Linked DNA regions of Macaca fascicularis. The protein of the gene in region 1 purifies or fractionates together with the protein of each later gene. This does not show direct contact. Links are inferred from orthologs where the notes say so. Each region holds a gene or a part of one and is shown in the gene's direction. Other genes may lie near its edges. The genes, in order: SNX4, SNX30 and SNX7.

What was found.
Region 2: the proteins of SNX4 (region 1) and SNX30 purify together in Homo sapiens (co-immunoprecipitation; 4 studies listed by BioGRID and IntAct, counting the BioPlex papers as one, with this or other methods). This does not show direct contact. The link is inferred for Macaca fascicularis from reciprocal best matches to the Homo sapiens genes SNX4 and SNX30.
Region 3: the proteins of SNX4 (region 1) and SNX7 purify together in Homo sapiens (affinity purification with mass spectrometry; 3 studies listed by BioGRID and IntAct, counting the BioPlex papers as one, with this or other methods). This does not show direct contact. The link is inferred for Macaca fascicularis from reciprocal best matches to the Homo sapiens genes SNX4 and SNX7.

What each region holds. Positions count from the first base shown.
Region 1 is NC_088376.1:157,793,772-157,799,007, forward strand, and holds part of SNX4 (sorting nexin-4), read left to right. Parts: intron 1-2,777; coding exon 2,778-2,877; intron 2,878-5,236. UniProt on the Homo sapiens protein: Involved in the regulation of endocytosis and in several stages of intracellular trafficking. Plays a role in recycling endocytosed transferrin receptor and prevent its degradation.
Region 2 is NC_088389.1:45,332,994-45,338,735, reverse strand, and holds the start of SNX30 (sorting nexin-30), read left to right. Parts: upstream 1-1,992; 5' UTR 1,993-2,223; coding exon 2,224-2,379; intron 2,380-5,742. UniProt on the Homo sapiens protein: Involved in the regulation of endocytosis and in several stages of intracellular trafficking. Together with SNX4, involved in autophagosome assembly.
Region 3 is NC_088375.1:135,687,910-135,693,145, reverse strand, and holds part of SNX7 (sorting nexin-7), read left to right. Parts: intron 1-3,162; coding exon 3,163-3,361; intron 3,362-5,236. UniProt on the Homo sapiens protein: Involved in the regulation of endocytosis and in several stages of intracellular trafficking. Together with SNX4, involved in autophagosome assembly by regulating trafficking and recycling of phospholipid scramblase ATG9A.

The sequences.
Region 1 (5,236 bases):
CTACCCTCGAAGCATCATTTTGATAAAACCTACCAGCCTCAGGCATCAAGTGTGTCTGTATGTTGTTGTTTCCACTTTTTCCAGTTCGAAGCTTGGAAGCAAAATACAGAGTGTGTGTAACAGTATCTGTTACTAGGTTGTATATTGCTGTTTTTATTCCGTGTGTCTTATCAGTAGCTTGTATAACGTCCTTATGTAACAAGGACTTTCTTATCTGTTCTTGTGGTATCTTTTACAGAGCCAAAGGGAATTCTCTTTTAGGTAGTCCTACGTGACTAGGAAAAAGTTAATGTATTTTTTTCTGATCAATTTAGAAAAAGGAATTATTTTCCCAGAATAGGTGGCTTTTGGACAGTTACCCTGTCACTTTTTTTTTTTTTTTTTTTTTTTTGAGACAGAGTAGAGTTTGGCTGTGTCGCCCAGGCTGGAGGGCAGTGGCGTGATCTCGGCTCACTGCAGCCTCTGCCTCCCAGGTTCAAGCGATTCTCCTACCTCAGCCTCCCAAGTATCTGGGATTACAGGCGCCCGCCAACACACTCGGCTAATTTTTGTATTTTTAGTAGAGACAGGGTTTCACCATGTTGGCCAGGCTGGTCTGAAACTCCTGACCTCAGGTATTCTGCCCGCCTCAGCCTCTCAAAGTGCTGGGATTACAGGCATGAGCCACCGCTGTCCTGTCACTTTTAAAAGCAGTATAAGAATTCTGTTAGAAAAACAAAAGATCACTATTCCCTTACCTGTATGGTGACTGGTGTGAAATCATCTGCACATTGTTAGCTTGTTTTCCTTCTAGGGCTTTGAGTAGTAGGAAGTCTCACCAATGTATTTTCAAGTCACCAAGCAAAAGAAAGTTGGCCGGGTGAGGTGGCTCCTGCCTGAATCCCAGCACTTTGGGAGGCCGAGGCAGATAGATTACCTGAGGCCAGGAGTTCGAGACCAGCCTAGCCAACATGGTGAAACACCATCTCTACTAAAATTATAAAAAAGTTAGCCAGGCATAGTGGTGGGTGCCTGTAATCCCAGCTACTGGAGAGGCTAAGGCTTGAACGGGGGAGGTGGAGGTTGCAGTGAGCCGAGATCACATCATTACACTCTAGCCTGGACAACAGAGCGAGACTGCATCTCAAAAAAAAAAAAAGAGAAAATTTCTGAGTACAGTGGAATTCTCTGCAGCTCTTAAAAATTATAAAAAGGATTAAGGTATATTGACATGGAAAGATGGCCAGGATATATAGCCATGTGAGAAAAGAGGTAGGAACCATTTGGGGTGTGTGGATATGGTATTTGTCAATGCCTAGCTAAATTCTGGAAGGTTATGTACTATCTGGTAACACAGATTATATCTGGATAGTGGGATTGGAGGAAAGAGTGTTCTTGAACTTTCTTTTTGTATTTTGTATTTTTTATTTTTTTGAGACGGCGTCTCACTCTGTTGCCCAGACTGGAGTGCAGTGGCACAATCTCTGCTAACTGCAACCTCTGCCTCCTGGGTACAAGTGATTCTCCTGCTTCAGCCTCCCAAGTAGCTGGAATTACAGGCATGCGCCACCACCCCCGGCTAATTTTTGTATTTTTAGTAGAGATGGGGTTTTATCACATTGGTCAGGCTGGTCTCGAACTCCTGACCTCAGGTGATCTGCCCACCTCAGCCTCCCAAAGTGCTGGGATTACTGGCGTGAGCCACCACGCCCAGCCTCTTTTTTTTATTTTGTGCATTGCTGTATTAGAATCTTTTTACAGTGAACATGGGTTACTTTTATGATCATAAAAACTATAAACATTTCTAGGCCGGGCGACATGGCTCACGCATATAATCCTAGCACTTTGGGAAACTGAGGTGGATGGATTGCTTGAGCCCATGAGTTTGAGACCAGCCTGGGCAACATGGGCGAGACCCCATCTCTACAAAGCACAAATTAGCTGGGCGTGGTGGCACATGCCTTAGTCCTAGCTACTTAGGAGGCTGAGGTGGGAGGATTGCCTAAACCCAGGAGGCAGAGGTTGCTGTGAGCCAAGATTGCACCACTGCACTCCAGCCTGGGTGACAGAGTGAGACCTTGTCTCCAAAAAAAAAAAAAAGCTAATAGACATTTTCTAAATCACAAAGAAGAAAACTTTGAGGTATTATTTTTTCTAAGAATACTCAGTGCTATGTGAGATTACAGCATTAGTTCTTACATTATATTAAAAAATGTTTTATGTATGTGATAATGGCATGTTTATTGAAAGAAATGTTCCAAGTATCTATAAAACAACTTTTTTTGTGTTAAGAATATATGACGTTTTTGGCGGGGTGCAGTGGCTCATGCCTGTAATCCCAGCACTTCAGGAGGCCGAAGTGGGCAGGTCACATGAGGTCAGGAGTTTAAGATCAGCCTGACCAACATGGAGAAACCCCGTCTCTACTAAAAATACAAAATTAGCTGGGCATGGTGGTGCATGCCTGTAATCCCAGCTACTCAAGAAGCTGAGGCAGGAAAATCATTTGAACCCGGGAGGTGGAGGTTGCAGTGAGCCAAGATCACGCCATTGCACTCCAGCCTGGGCAACAAGAGCAAAACTCTGTCTCCAAAAAAAAAAGAATATACGAAGTTTTTATGGTTAGATTTTGCTAGATTCCACTTCTAATGTTGGGCTACTGCATTCTAAACTTGAAAATTCTGGGCACACACGTTCTGCCCTAGTGAGACGTTGTGAATGGTTCTCCTCTACCCTTGAAAAATATGTTTGACATGTTAAAGAAAAAGTTAAATGGCAGCACATTTTTTCATCTGTAGGGCTGTGTGCAGGAAACATGAACTTATGCAGTATGACTTGGAGATGGCTGCTCAGGACTTAGCGTCCAAGAAGCAGCAGTGTGAGGAACTGGCAACTGGGGTGAGTATTTTTCTTTTGGCCTCTGATGATATTGTAGCAACATGGAATGTTCCTCACAAGCACTCACTCTAAGTGAGTAACTCACTCCTGTGGAATCAGCTTCAGTTGCAATACTCAGGACGGCTGCACCTTTTACAGGGGAATAATTTGTGAGTAACTTTATAATTATTTTGTTATTATCTTGATACAAAAAGATGTAAGCCATTTAAAACCATGTACTGTATAGAATTATAAGAAATTTTGCCAACATTTCTCTGCTGTAATCAGTATCATCTGGTTTCTTTAAAAAAAAAAAAGTTAGCTGGGCATGGTGGCTCACGCCTGTAATCCCAGCACTTTGGGAGGGCGAGGCGGGTGGATCATGAGGTTAGGAGATCAAGACCATCCTGGCTGGCCGGGCGCGGTGGCTCAAGCCTGTAATCCCAGCACTTTGGGAGGCCGAGACGGGCGGATCACGAGGTCAGGAGATCGAGACCATCCTGGCTAACACGGTGAAACCCCATCTCTACTAAAAAATACAAAAAAAAAAACTAGCCGGGCGAAGTGGCGGGCGCCTGTAGTCCCAGCTACTTGGGAGGCTGAGGCAGGAGAATGGCGTGAACCCGGGAGGCGGAGCTTGCAGTGAGCTGAGATCCGGCCACTGCACTCCAGCCTGGGCGACAGAGCATGACTCCGTCTCAAAAAAAAAAAAAAAAAAAAAAAAGACCATCCTGGCTAACATGGTGAAACCCCATCTCTACTAAAAATACAAAAAATTAGCCGGGAGTGGTGGCGGGCACCTGTAGTCCCAGCTACTCGGGAGGCTGAGGCAGGAGAATGGCGTGCACCTGGGAGGCGGAGCTTTCAGTGAGCTGAGATCGTGCCACTGTACTCCAGCCTGGGCAACAGAGCAAAACTCTGTCTCAAAAAATAAATACATAAATAAAATTAAAAAAAAAAAGTTTATTGGGCTGAGCACTGTGGCTCACACCTGTAATCCCAGCACTTTGGGAAGCCAAGGCTGATGGATCACCTGGGGTCAGGAGTTCGAGACTAGCCTGGCCAACATGGCGAAACCTGATCTCTACTAAAAATACAAAAATTAGCCAGGTGTGGTTGCTTACACCTGTAGTCCCAGCTACTCGGAAAGCTGAGGCAGAAGAATTGCTTGAACCGGAGAGGCGAAGGTTGCAGCTAGCCGAGGTCAGACTATTGCACTCTAGCCTGGGTGACAGAGTGAGACTCCATCTCAAAAAAAAATTGTTTTTATTTATTTTTATTTTTTGAGACAAGGTCTGGCTCTGTCGCCCAGGCTGGAGTGCAGTGGTGTGATCAGGGCTCATGGAAGCCTCAAACTCCTGGGGTCAAGCGATCCTCCTGCCTCAGCCTCTTGAGTAGCTGGGACCACAGGCATGTGCCGCCGCCCCCCGGCCTGGCTGATTTTGTTTATAGTCTCATCGTGTTGACCAGGGTGGTCTCAAACTCCTGGACTCAAGTGATCCTCCCACCTCAGCCTCCCAAAGTGCTAGGATTACAAAGGTAAGCCACCATGCCTAGTCAGTCATCTGGTTTCTAAGTCCAAGTGAAAAAACATGCAATGACCTTTATCAGGTTTAACTTTGCAAGGTACTTTGTAGAAATTTGAGTTGACTTTGAAAAGCCTTACCCACTTAGAACCAGTGCATCTTGCCTAACAGGGAGCTTTTGATGTATTTTATTCTTTAATGCTTACAGTGAGTACTTGTGAGGAAAATTCTATATCTGGTTGCATTAGTCTTGGATCATTTTTATAATAAGCTTTCTACTCTCCGGTTATTTCCTTGCAATAAATTAGCCATCATGGTGAGCAACACATTCTGAAAGTAGTAAACCGGCAGCAGTGTCTCTCCTTAGTTAATAAGCACTGTAGTTTTGTTTTTTTTTTTTTCCTTAGATGAAGTCTCATTCTGTCACCCAGGCTAGAGTGCAGCTCACTGCAAGCTCCACCTCCTGGGTTCACACCATTCTCCTGCCTCAGCCTCCCGAGTACCTGGGACTACAGGTGCCCGCCGCCACACCTGACTAATTTTTTTGTGTGTTTTTAGTAGAGACGGGGTTTCACCGTGTTAGCCAGGATAGTCTCAGTCTCCTGACCTCGTGATCCATCCGCCTCGGCCTCCCAAATTGCTGCAGGCGTGAGCCACCGCACCTGGCCAAGCACTGTAGTTTTAAAAGTGCTTTTCACATATATTACCTACTGGTTACATCTATGAAAAGTCATAATATATGTGGGGAAAGACTTGTGACCGGGACACATGTATAAACTAGGCCCTTGGTTTATTTTTAAAATTCAGTGGGAGAAGTTCCCAGGCCATTTTCAGGGAGCTTGGTTCCCTATTCC
Region 2 (5,742 bases), on another chromosome or scaffold:
CTTATAGGCTCAAGTGATCCTCCCACCTTGGCCTCCCAAAGTGCTGGGATTACAGGTGTGAGGCACCCTACCTGATATATATATATATTCAACCAGACCCTACTCAGAATAGTAAAGCATATTTAATTACAAAAACTCTTTATTATTTCATAAGAATAGTAGAAGAAGTCTGACAGAAAGGGAAGGGAAGGTAGGTAGTTAACATTTAGGGAGCATCTATTCCATGCCAGCACTTGGCTAGGACTATGACATAAAGAATGCTATTTAACTCTCACAACCATCTCATAAGGTATTATTACCTGCTCTCCATTCTCCTCCTTTTCAGGTTAGGAACAGGTTCACTGAGGTTAGTAACTTGCTTATGGTCACCCACTTGTAGTGACAAAGCAGAATTCAAATGTGGTTCTTTTTTCACTTTCCCCTGGTGCCCTAAAGAGAAAGCTTGTATAGAGTCTTAATCCACACAGATCTCCATCATATTTAAGGCAGCCTGGTTGTTAAAATAAGTAGCACCATTCAATAAGAAAAACCTATGTTATACATCTATAGAATACTCATTTCTAGTTATATTGTGCTATTTGTTTTAATGCTAATTCAGAAGAACAGATAATAGGGTCTGTAGTAGTTGTAAGCAGTCCTTGAATGTGAAAGTGTTAACAATTTTAATCCAACTCCAAGAGGACCAGAACTTGGCATTCCTTAGATGCACCATTTAAAATTGTTCCCAGTGCCCTTTGAATGCTATTTTTTTCCCAGCCAAGGCAGGCTTATGTGGAGGAGATAAAGATGACAGCTTGAGGACTAAGGGTCCAGCCCTATATAAATTACATTGGGGGAAACAAGGGAAGGTCTTTGAAGCTCAGAGTCTCTGACTGATATTTTGGGTAGGTTTCAACCCTCTGCATTCTCTTCTACTTGTTTCTAGAGAAAACTGTGGTAGAGGCCTTAGTGAATCCCAGAGTCAAAATCTGTCATCACCTTTTAGCAGGTAAAGCTAGGCAAACCTTTGAGTTTGGAATGGGTAGGGAAAATGTGGTCCCTCACGATAAGCCTCCCTACCCATTACTTTGCTAGAGGGACTGAAAACCCTTTAAAGACTTGGCCTTGGAAACAGAAGATCTAGGGACAGGTAAGGTGGAAAAAGGAGGTTAATCTACACCCCAATGGGCTGGAAGTAACACCTTGACTATTTGCACCATGCCAGCAAATAAAGCTGAGAATCAGCTCAGCCCAAGGCCTGGAAAGGAAACACAAATGCATGAAAAATAACTTGAACCTCATGGTTCTTTCAAAAGTCTCTTCGGCGAAAGTGTGAGTTGAAGAGTCGTATATCATTTGCAGCTCTATCCTCATGCTCACTCTTCTGAGGTTTGACTTTACACAAACCTTGGTCAGCTGCAGAAGCAAGACACAATGGGGACCTCAGAGTGAGGCTGAAGACTCCCCACACCCCCTCCTTGAAGCCCCTTCCAGGTTCCCCACCCGATGTCCTCTAGCTCCTTTGAGCCTCGTCGCCCTTTATGCTATTCTTCCGATATGGGTCGTAATTCCGTCTATTTTGGGTTCTTCCTGCGCGTGCCTTAGAGGCCATAAGACCCTGACTCACGTGCGTGTCCTCAAAGCCGCCAGCCCCAAGCGTGGCTGCTGGTGGGCGCATCAGTAAAAGCGAGTGGAACGGAGCAGGCTCCTCCAACCTCTTTTCCACCTCTGATTTCCGTTAAACATTTGCTCCGCACGGCGGCCTCCGCGAGGCAACGTTGGACACTGGGAGGACAGACGCAGAGGCCCACAGCGCACTTCCTGCCGGGCGGGGGCGGGGCTGCACCTCCTCCCTCCCTCTCTCCCTCCCTCCTTCCCTCCCTCCTTCCCCACGTGCCCCCTCCCCGCTCCCCCCGCCCTCCCCGCCCCCTCCCGGGCAGCCGCGGCGCCTCGGGGGCGGGGCCGGAGCGGGTGGGCGGCGTGGCTGTGCGGGCTGGGCGCCGCGGCCGTGCTGCCAGCGGACCCGCGGCGGGCTAGGGCGCGGAGCGGGGACGCGCGGCGCGGAGCTGAGCGTCTCAGCGCCGGCAGACACTAGCCGGCGGGTGGCAGCGGCTCCCGGCCCGGCCGGTGGAAGGCCTCGGGCTGAGCGGCGGCCGAGCGGGGCTCGGCCCGGGGCGCTCGGGGAGCTCGCAGCGGCGGGCAGCAGGAGGAAGCGGCGGCGGCGCGTCCCGAGCGGTGCGCGCCATGGCGGGCGGGCCCCCCAAGGCCCTGCCGTCCACGGGGCCCCACTCCCTGCGCGACATGCCGCACCCGCTGGCCGGCTCCAGCAGCGAGGAGGCCGTGGGTGGTGACAGCACGCCCAGCCCGGACCTGCTGATGGCCCGCAGCTTCGGTGACAAGGTGGGGCGCCTGGGGCTGGGGTCTGGGAGGCTTATTTCGCTCCCCGTTGGGGGGATGATGGATCCGGAGCCTTCCTGGGCCTGGGGCCGCGCCCACCCTGCCGCCCCTTCCCGGGGGACTGGCGTGCCCTGGCCCCGGAGCTCTCGGCGAAAGCGTCTCCTCTGCCGCCTCCGCGGGGTCGCAGCCGCAGAGGGACGGGTTTCGCTGCCTGTGACTGGTCGCGAGCGCCGGTGACAGCTGGTGGGGAGGGGTCCAGCCTGCGTGTTGGGGCGGGAGGCGCGTGTGCAGGGCAGGGCGCCTGTGTCCTCGGATGGGGTTCCGAGTTCCTCCAGGTGCATCCCTGCAGGCTGAGCTGCTGCATAACTTGTAGCTCCTCCAGTTTCCTGAGACTGCACAGAAGCAGGAGTTCATGGCTTTCCGTGCTGGGACCGGGCAGCCCTGGGCTTACAGCGAGAGTCTTCTTCCCCCGAGTCAGTCATGTGGGGAGTGATCTTTGTTTAGGTTTGCTGTTTGTCCTGAGGAGTCACCTGACTCAGACCCCAGCCGGCGGCGGGAGGAGAGCCTCGTTGTGGTTTTCTGTCTGGGGCTCCATTCACCTCCGACGGCCTACCACTCTGTTTAGGTTTGGCAGCGGCTGGTTTTGTGGTTGATGGAAAGAAAGCTCGCCCTTTGACCTTCTTTGTACAGAGGGAGGCTCCAGATTTTCTTGGAGCAGCACAACCCTCCTGCTGCTTGGAGACACAGCAGAGTCCAGGCAGGGGTAAGGGACGGCCTCCTCCCTATCTCCATGGCCATTTCAGCTGTGAAGGGGACTTGAGCAGTGATTGTATCCTCGCTCCTGCTGTCGCTTAGTCGCTAACTGCAGAAATTAGCATTGTTCTCAGGTCTTGTGATCAAGATTTTCTCTCCCTAGTAAAATACTAAATGGATTCCCCCTTGTCCCAATATTAATGGGAGCAGGGGACCTAACTTTCTTCTCCCGTCAGAGGGGACACCATGTGGTACAGTAAAAAAATGAGTATGAGAAAATATAACCTGCCCGCCTTGCAGCACTTAAAATCACTAGAGAGTGGGACTTGACTTGATGTACCTTCTGCACAGGGTTTGTGAAAGCTGGGAGTGAAGTTCCAAAGCATTAGGGACAGGAACATTTAAAAAAGCTAATGGAGGCCGGGTGCAGTGGCTCACAACTGTAATACCAGCACTTTGGGAGGCTGAGGCAGGATGATTGCTCTGGGCCAAAAGTTTGAGACCTGCCTGGGCAACATATTGAGACCCCATCTACACACACACACACACACACACACACACACACACACACACACACTATGGTGGCATGCACCTGTAGTCCAGGCTACTCAGGGAGGCTGAGGCTGGAGGATTGCTTGAGCCCGGGAGTTCAGGGCTGCAGTGAGCTATGATTGCACCGCTGTACTCCAGCCTGGGCAAGAGAGTGAGACCCTGTCTCCAAAAAATGTTGAATGACTGAATAAATTTGCTTTCTTATGGACAAAAATTGGTCTTAAAATAGTGTAGGAACTGGGGTTAAACCTCATTTCCTTCTCAGTTCTGTGTAGGATACTGAATTAATTATCTATTGCTGTGTAGCAAATTACCCCCAAAACTTACCACCTGGAAATAGTGTCTGTGGGACAATCTGAGTGGTTCTGAATTAGGCCTTTCTTGAGGTTGCAGTCATCTGAAGGCTGGATTAGGGGAGGATCCACTTCTAAGCTCACTCACATGGCTGTTGGCAGGCCTTAGTTACTCTCCATAGGGCTGTTGGATGTGGCAACTGGTTTTCTCCCCTAGAGCAAGTGATCCAAGAGAGCCCAAGACTCTAGCCAGTCTTGTATAACTTACCTTGGAAATGACATGCCTCTGATGTATTCTGTCGGTCACACAGATTGACACTGGTACAATGTGGGGAGACGGTGTGAATACCAGGGTGTGCATACCAAGAGGTGGGGATCATTGGGCCATCTTGGAGACTGACTACTACAGATAGCTATTTTAAATATTTGCTTAACGAATCACTCATGGATGATACCTGACTCAGAAGTATGGGTGTTTTACTAGTAAGTACTTGGAAGACAAATTCTCCGTACCACCAAGATCTAGTTAGTGGTCAAGAAGTCAGTCTCAGGTCTAATTACTGATGGCTTCCTTTAAAGGGTCTGTTCTGTGTGGGAGGTTGAGTCTTGGAGGCATTCTTAATTATTGAATATATATGTATTTTTTGAGACAGAGACTCACTCTGTCACCCAGGCTGGAGTGCAGTGGCCTGATCCTGACTCACTGCAATCTCCACCTCCCTGGTCGAAGTGATTCTCGTGCCTCAGCTCTCGTGTAGCTGGGATTACAGGCGTGTGCCACCTTGACTGGGTAATTTTTGTATTTTTAGTAGAGACGAGGTTTCGCTATGTTGGCCAGACTAGTCTCGAACTCCTGGCCTCAAGTGATCTGCCCGCCTTGGCCTCCCAAAGTGCTGGGATTACAGGCGTGAGCCACGGTGCCTGGCCTAATTATTGAATATTTATTAAATCTCCTAACAGCTGTGGGGAGCATCTAAATGACACCATTCTCAAGGGCCCGATTTATAGTAAGCCACTTTTCCTTAGAGGCTAAGCATTGTAATTTCTTTCTCTGACTAGGAGTAACATTTTCCTTGAATCTTGGCATCCCCGTATGGTCTCATAACTCTGAAGAAATTTCTGTAGAGAGAAGCTAGCAAGCCACAGAGGTGAGTCAGAGCCAGAAGAAGGAAGCCTTCCCTGTGGCTGGCTTTCTCCTGCCTCAGCAGCATGAGGGTCATCAAAGGGGTGGTAGGACACTTCAGTGCTATGGTCTGTCTTTGAAAAGAAGCCAGTTTTGTCTTATTAGATACTAGGGTTGTGATCCTGGATGACAGGGATTCTGGGTCAGTTCTGGGCTAGAGGAATGAAGATTTGACAGGCTGATCATAGTACAGGGTTATTATGCAGAGGGGAATTGCTTTCTGAGGGGCCAAGATGGTGCTATGAACAGGGTAGCCTTGTGTCTTGGTCCAGCTGACACTTGTGAATGAACTCTGTAGTGCTTGGGTAGAAGAGAAAGACCAAATATGATGGACTGTCCACCAGTTTCTCAAATTTTTCAAATCATGGTGTGATGCCTCCCTTCATAGGCTCCCAAAGGAGGAATCCTTTCTATCTACCAGAGGTTGCCAGGACTAATTCTTTTGATGCCTGCTAAACTCACCTTTTTTTTTTTTTTTTCTTTTTTTTGAGACAGAGTCTTGCTGTTGCCCAGGCTAGAGTGTAGTGGTGGAATCTCACTACATCTTCTGCCTCCTGGGTTCGTGTGATTCTCCTGCCTCAGCCT
Region 3 (5,236 bases), on another chromosome or scaffold:
TTTGGGTGTCTAGATCTATAGTAGATTGTATTCTTCCTCTTGTTTACCTTTACAAATCACGCAGTGGTGTACTTGAATTGAGATGGAATTTTTCAGAAACACTGGAGAGTTATCCTTCAGGTATAACCCTGTGTCAAATCTACATATAAATATTACAGAAATCTTGTATCTTCATACGTATATATATACATACACACACACATACACACACACACTCTCTCTTTCTCTCTCTCTTTAATGTTTTAATGTCAGGGTGCTTCTTGCATAAATAGCAAATACTGAACAGCTATAAATGTATTTCTTTTATTGACACTATAGTTGACCCTTGAACAACATGGCAGTTAGGGAAGCCAACCCCTTATGAAGTTGAAAATCCATGTGTAACTTTTAATTCCCCAGAAACTTTACTAGCAGCCTCCTGTTGATTGGAAGCCTTAACTATACCATAAACAGTTGGTTAACACATATTTATATCTTTTGTGTATTATATACTGTATTTTTTGCAGTAAAGTAACCTAGAGAAAAGAAAAGGTTATTTAAGAAAATCCTAAGGAAGAGAAAATACACTAACAGTATCCTACTGTATCTATTGATACCATAAGTTTATGTTGTCTGTCTACCAGATGAATTGTCAGTCTGAAATGGAGGGCAATGACAGTGGCAGACCTCAATGTATGGTACTTAGCAAGCAATTCAACTTTTTTTGTAATGCCATGACTTTTCTCTGCTTCTTGGGAACATTTCCAGCATCACTAGTGGCACTTCATATGGGTCCCATGGTATTATTTCAGGTTTATAGTATTGCACTAAACACAATAAAAAATACATGGGAACCACAAGAGATCACTTTTTACTGCTATACCCGATTTACTGGAGAGATGAACTACTCGCACGGAGATGATCAGCGTCACATGGCGTTTTAAGCGGATATTCGCAACACTTCAGCTAGCCACAAATAGCAACAGGAGGGCTACAAAAATAGTACAGTAGTACAGTGTGTACTGTAGTTAATTTTAATCGGTTTTGATTTAATACAGCATCTTTATGTTTGTTTATGTTTCTCTCAACTGCAAATGGTGGCATGTGAGCCAAAATATGTGCACACGTTTTGATAAATGTTAACTTTTTATAATTGATTTATATACATTTTAGGGTAGTAAATGATAGACTAGTATCTACATATATTTTGTGCATTCATGACATACCTTTCTCTCCGGTTTTTCTACATTTCTAGACTATGTGGTTTGTGAGTTGTTTTTAATTGTTGCAAATCTCCAAAAAATTTTCCAATATATTTATTGAAAAAAGTCCACATGTGTGGACCTGCTCAGGTCACACCTGTGTTGTTCAAGGGTCTACTTTATTTTGAGTAATAATGGATCAGGGCTTTTTAAGCTAGGATAAAAGTCCTTATTAAATGGGTAGATGGATGAATGGAGATAGATGAATGGATGGATGGATGGATGGATGGATGGATGGATGGATGGACAGATGGATGGACAGATAATATAATCTCCTTACTTTTCCTTTAATTATCTAAGTGGGAGAGTGCCTAATTTCTAATATGGAAACCTTATCCATTCTACTTGTTTTTTCTTTTATTCTATAAAGCTATAACTCTGCAAGAAAGATACCAGATAGGACAAAGAGTCAATATTAAACAGTTACTGACAAATGTTGAGTTTTATATCTCTCAGTTATTGCCAGTGGTGGAAGCTAAAAAGTGGTTCATTTCAATCTTGACAGATAGTCCTGCTCTATGGAAGCCCTTTGTGACTTATGTGAAATGAATATGTGGCCTGACTTCAGAACTTAGAAGCTGTTAGAAATATTCTCTACAGTCAACAGTTTCAGTAACAGCTTGCCAGTTGTGACGTGAGCTGTCTCTGATAATGTTTACTCTATCAAATGAGGCTGTAGTACTCTTGGATGGATGTGTTGCCTGGTCAAGGATGGCATCTGTTGTTATTGGCACAAAAAAAACACACTGAATTGGAAATAAACAAGTTTACTTTGTATGTATTATTTTCTGTAAGATATTCAGGAACGAAAACCTGGAAGAAGATAGACAATGTGTTATTTAATATTTGGGTAAATAATATATGATATTTTTATCTGTAGATTAGGTAGTCAGCAGTATTTTATTTGATCCCAAGCTTGTGTTTCAACAAAGGCCATAACCATTATTAGAATCCCTTGTCCTTTCTTTTGTTTTTATTTGTTCTTTTATCTTATGCCATACTTCTCAAGGGATATGTTTGTGTGTAATATATTCTTTTATAGGATTTCTTCTATCTGTTTTTCAAGTCTATAGTTATTCCTCCTAGGTTAAGTATGAAATAACTAGTTACGTTCCTTATTAAAAATTTTCTCTGCAGACAACCAGCCAGTGAAGGCGGTGTCACAGTTTACCCGCTTCATTTGGTTGAAGTGCTATAGTCAGGTAGTATCTATTGACAAACTACCCTAATGACTTTAAGTGGGCAGAGCAAGTTGGTGCTTAATAATGAAGTCTCTGGAATCAGACTTCCAGGATTCCAGTTCTTGCTCTATCACTTAATTGCTCTAGGATCTTGAGCAAGTTACTTAACTTTCCTGTGCCTCTATTTTCTTCTGTAAAATGAGGAAAATAATAAAACCTACCTCATAGGTTTATGGTAAATTACGTATATTAAAATGTCAGTATAGTGCCCAGAATGTATTAAGCTCTAAATAAATGTTAGCTACTATTACATCTAAAGAATTAATGAAGTTTTCCAATTTTATTTTTCAGAGTATAACTTAGGCCCTGAGAAATCTTATCTCAATCATTTTCCATTAAATTCCTGTTATAAAATATAGATGGTATGTCATATTATCCTTGTCTTCTCTAGTATCTCACTGAGCACTATTCTGTCTGTTAAACCCTGTTCTTTTAAAGATTTATGGTCTGAGGAACGACTGTATACCTGTTTTACATGAGTCCTGTGAAAGGGAATATTATCAAGGAGGCTGCCAGTTGGGACACTGTACCTTAATAAAGCTCATCTGCTTCAAGCTAACACTAAATGCCTATGAAACCATTTTATCTTAATTTTATTCTCCTAATTAGGTTTCTTTTTGTATTGAGTCTCGGAATATTGAGACATGTTTCACTAGAAATATTTTGTTTTTTGTTTCTAGGAACTCTCTTCTCACAAGAAGCAAGGTCCCGGATTGCTAAGCAGGATGGGGCAAACAGTCAGAGCTGTTGCATCCTCAATGAGAGGAGTTAAAAACCGCCCAGAGGAGTTCATGGAAATGAATAACTTTATTGAACTATTTAGCCAGAAAATAAATTTGATAGATAAAATATCTCAGAGAATTTATAAGGAAGAAAGGGGTAAGTAGAATTACTGAAATGTGTTTTCACAGTTGTTCAGTTTCTAATGAATCTTCACATTTGTTCGTGTAGTATAGCAACATGCAGTTAGAATGTCAGCTTCAAAGTGTGGCTTATTCCCAGCCATGTTATGGACATTTGTGATTCCTAAATGATTTCAAAGGTAGTTATGGCCAGTCTCCATTTTCACTTTTATCAATCACTAGCTGCTCTACTTCCCATTCATAGATAATAGTGGTAAAGTAAGCCCTGAGTTTATGACTGTGGATGTAGTTTTATGAAGTTTGTATTCAACATGGCACAGAGCTCAGAATCAAAGAAGTGATGTTTCAGGAAATAGGTTTTCACATTTTCTGGTAATTATTTTTTTCTGGAGGGAACAGGTATTCTGTATTATACTGTCAAAGTATGGCAGAGAGATTTATGTATTGGAAAATCTGCCTCTTTTCCTATTTTCTTTTTTTTTTTTTTTTTAGTTTATAAGTCAGAATTTATGATGAATTTCTTCTAATTCTAATCATGTGATTTTTTCACTAATTTTCTAATTGCATTTACTTACATTAAAAAATAGATAACTGAGTCAGCAAATAATTTCCTAATATAATTTGTTATTAGAGATCAGGAACTACATAAAGACAAACAAAAGTCCCTAAGTTAATGGCTTATTTGTTAATTGACTTCTACTTAACTGTACTGCCCATCAGGATAAGCTGGGAAATATTTTATTTCTAGTATTCAGATGGTGTTTAATCATAATAAGCACTCAATTAAAATTTGTTCAATGATTGAAAAAAAACACGAATGAACATAAGATTTGGAATGGTGTAGGAAAATGTGCTTTATTAAGAATTGATTGGTTTTAAAAAGAGATACAGAAAAAACTTATAACTGAATGTACTTTGCCCCTTTTCTACCTTTTTTATTCATGCGTTGACACCTGATGAGATTACTGTAGTGACTGAATATAGTATAATAATTTGTTTTAAACCTCCTTGGTTTGCCCTTACATTTATTATTTGTCTTTTTTTTTTTTTTAACCTGAAGAGGTGAATTATTTTAACTAGGTTCTGTGATTCCAGTTCTATTAAGTAGATTCTGGCTGCGTAGTTAGGTGGTATGGCAATTCAAAGAGATCTCTGGAAACTATTGGTAGTTAAGAGCTTTATAAGCTAACAGTGAGTATCAAAGAGTAATTAAGATGGTACCTGTTAAGCTCACAGTCTAGTTAGGAAATATGTATATTAACAGACAAATTACAGTGCAGCTAACTAAATGCTTGCATACAGATGTGATTTGAATGGTATGTAAGTGCAGTTTAGAATTTTAGGGCAGCTTTGCATATAAACATAAATATTGTTCAGGTTTAATGACAGATATTGACATACATTGAGAAATTTGAGATTTCTCAATTGACTCAATTGAGAAAAGAAAGTGGAAAATTTTCTTTTCTAGAAATTAGTTCAGTATGGTCATTATTTACCAGAAAGACAGGCCTAGGATCAGGAAGGTGGAGTTTGGAAGGACTATAGAGGTGATTAAATGTTCATTAGGTAACAACTAGTATCTACATTGTTTTTAAATTTCATATTTTTAAACTTTTTATTTAATACAAACTTTTAAAGTTTTAATAGTTTAATTGTTTAGAGAAATATGACAGATATCAGCAAATCCTAATGAGTTGTAAGATGGCTGAATATAGACAATTTAATTGTATTTATATGGATAGTGAACAAAAAATGCTCACTGCTTATACATTTTCTACACAAAAAGCCATACATTACTGAAAATTAAGTGTGAAAGTAAAAATGTTAAGTTGTAAAGATATTCACATTTTAAAATGAAATCCAAATTTTTGAATATATAGCGTATCAAAAA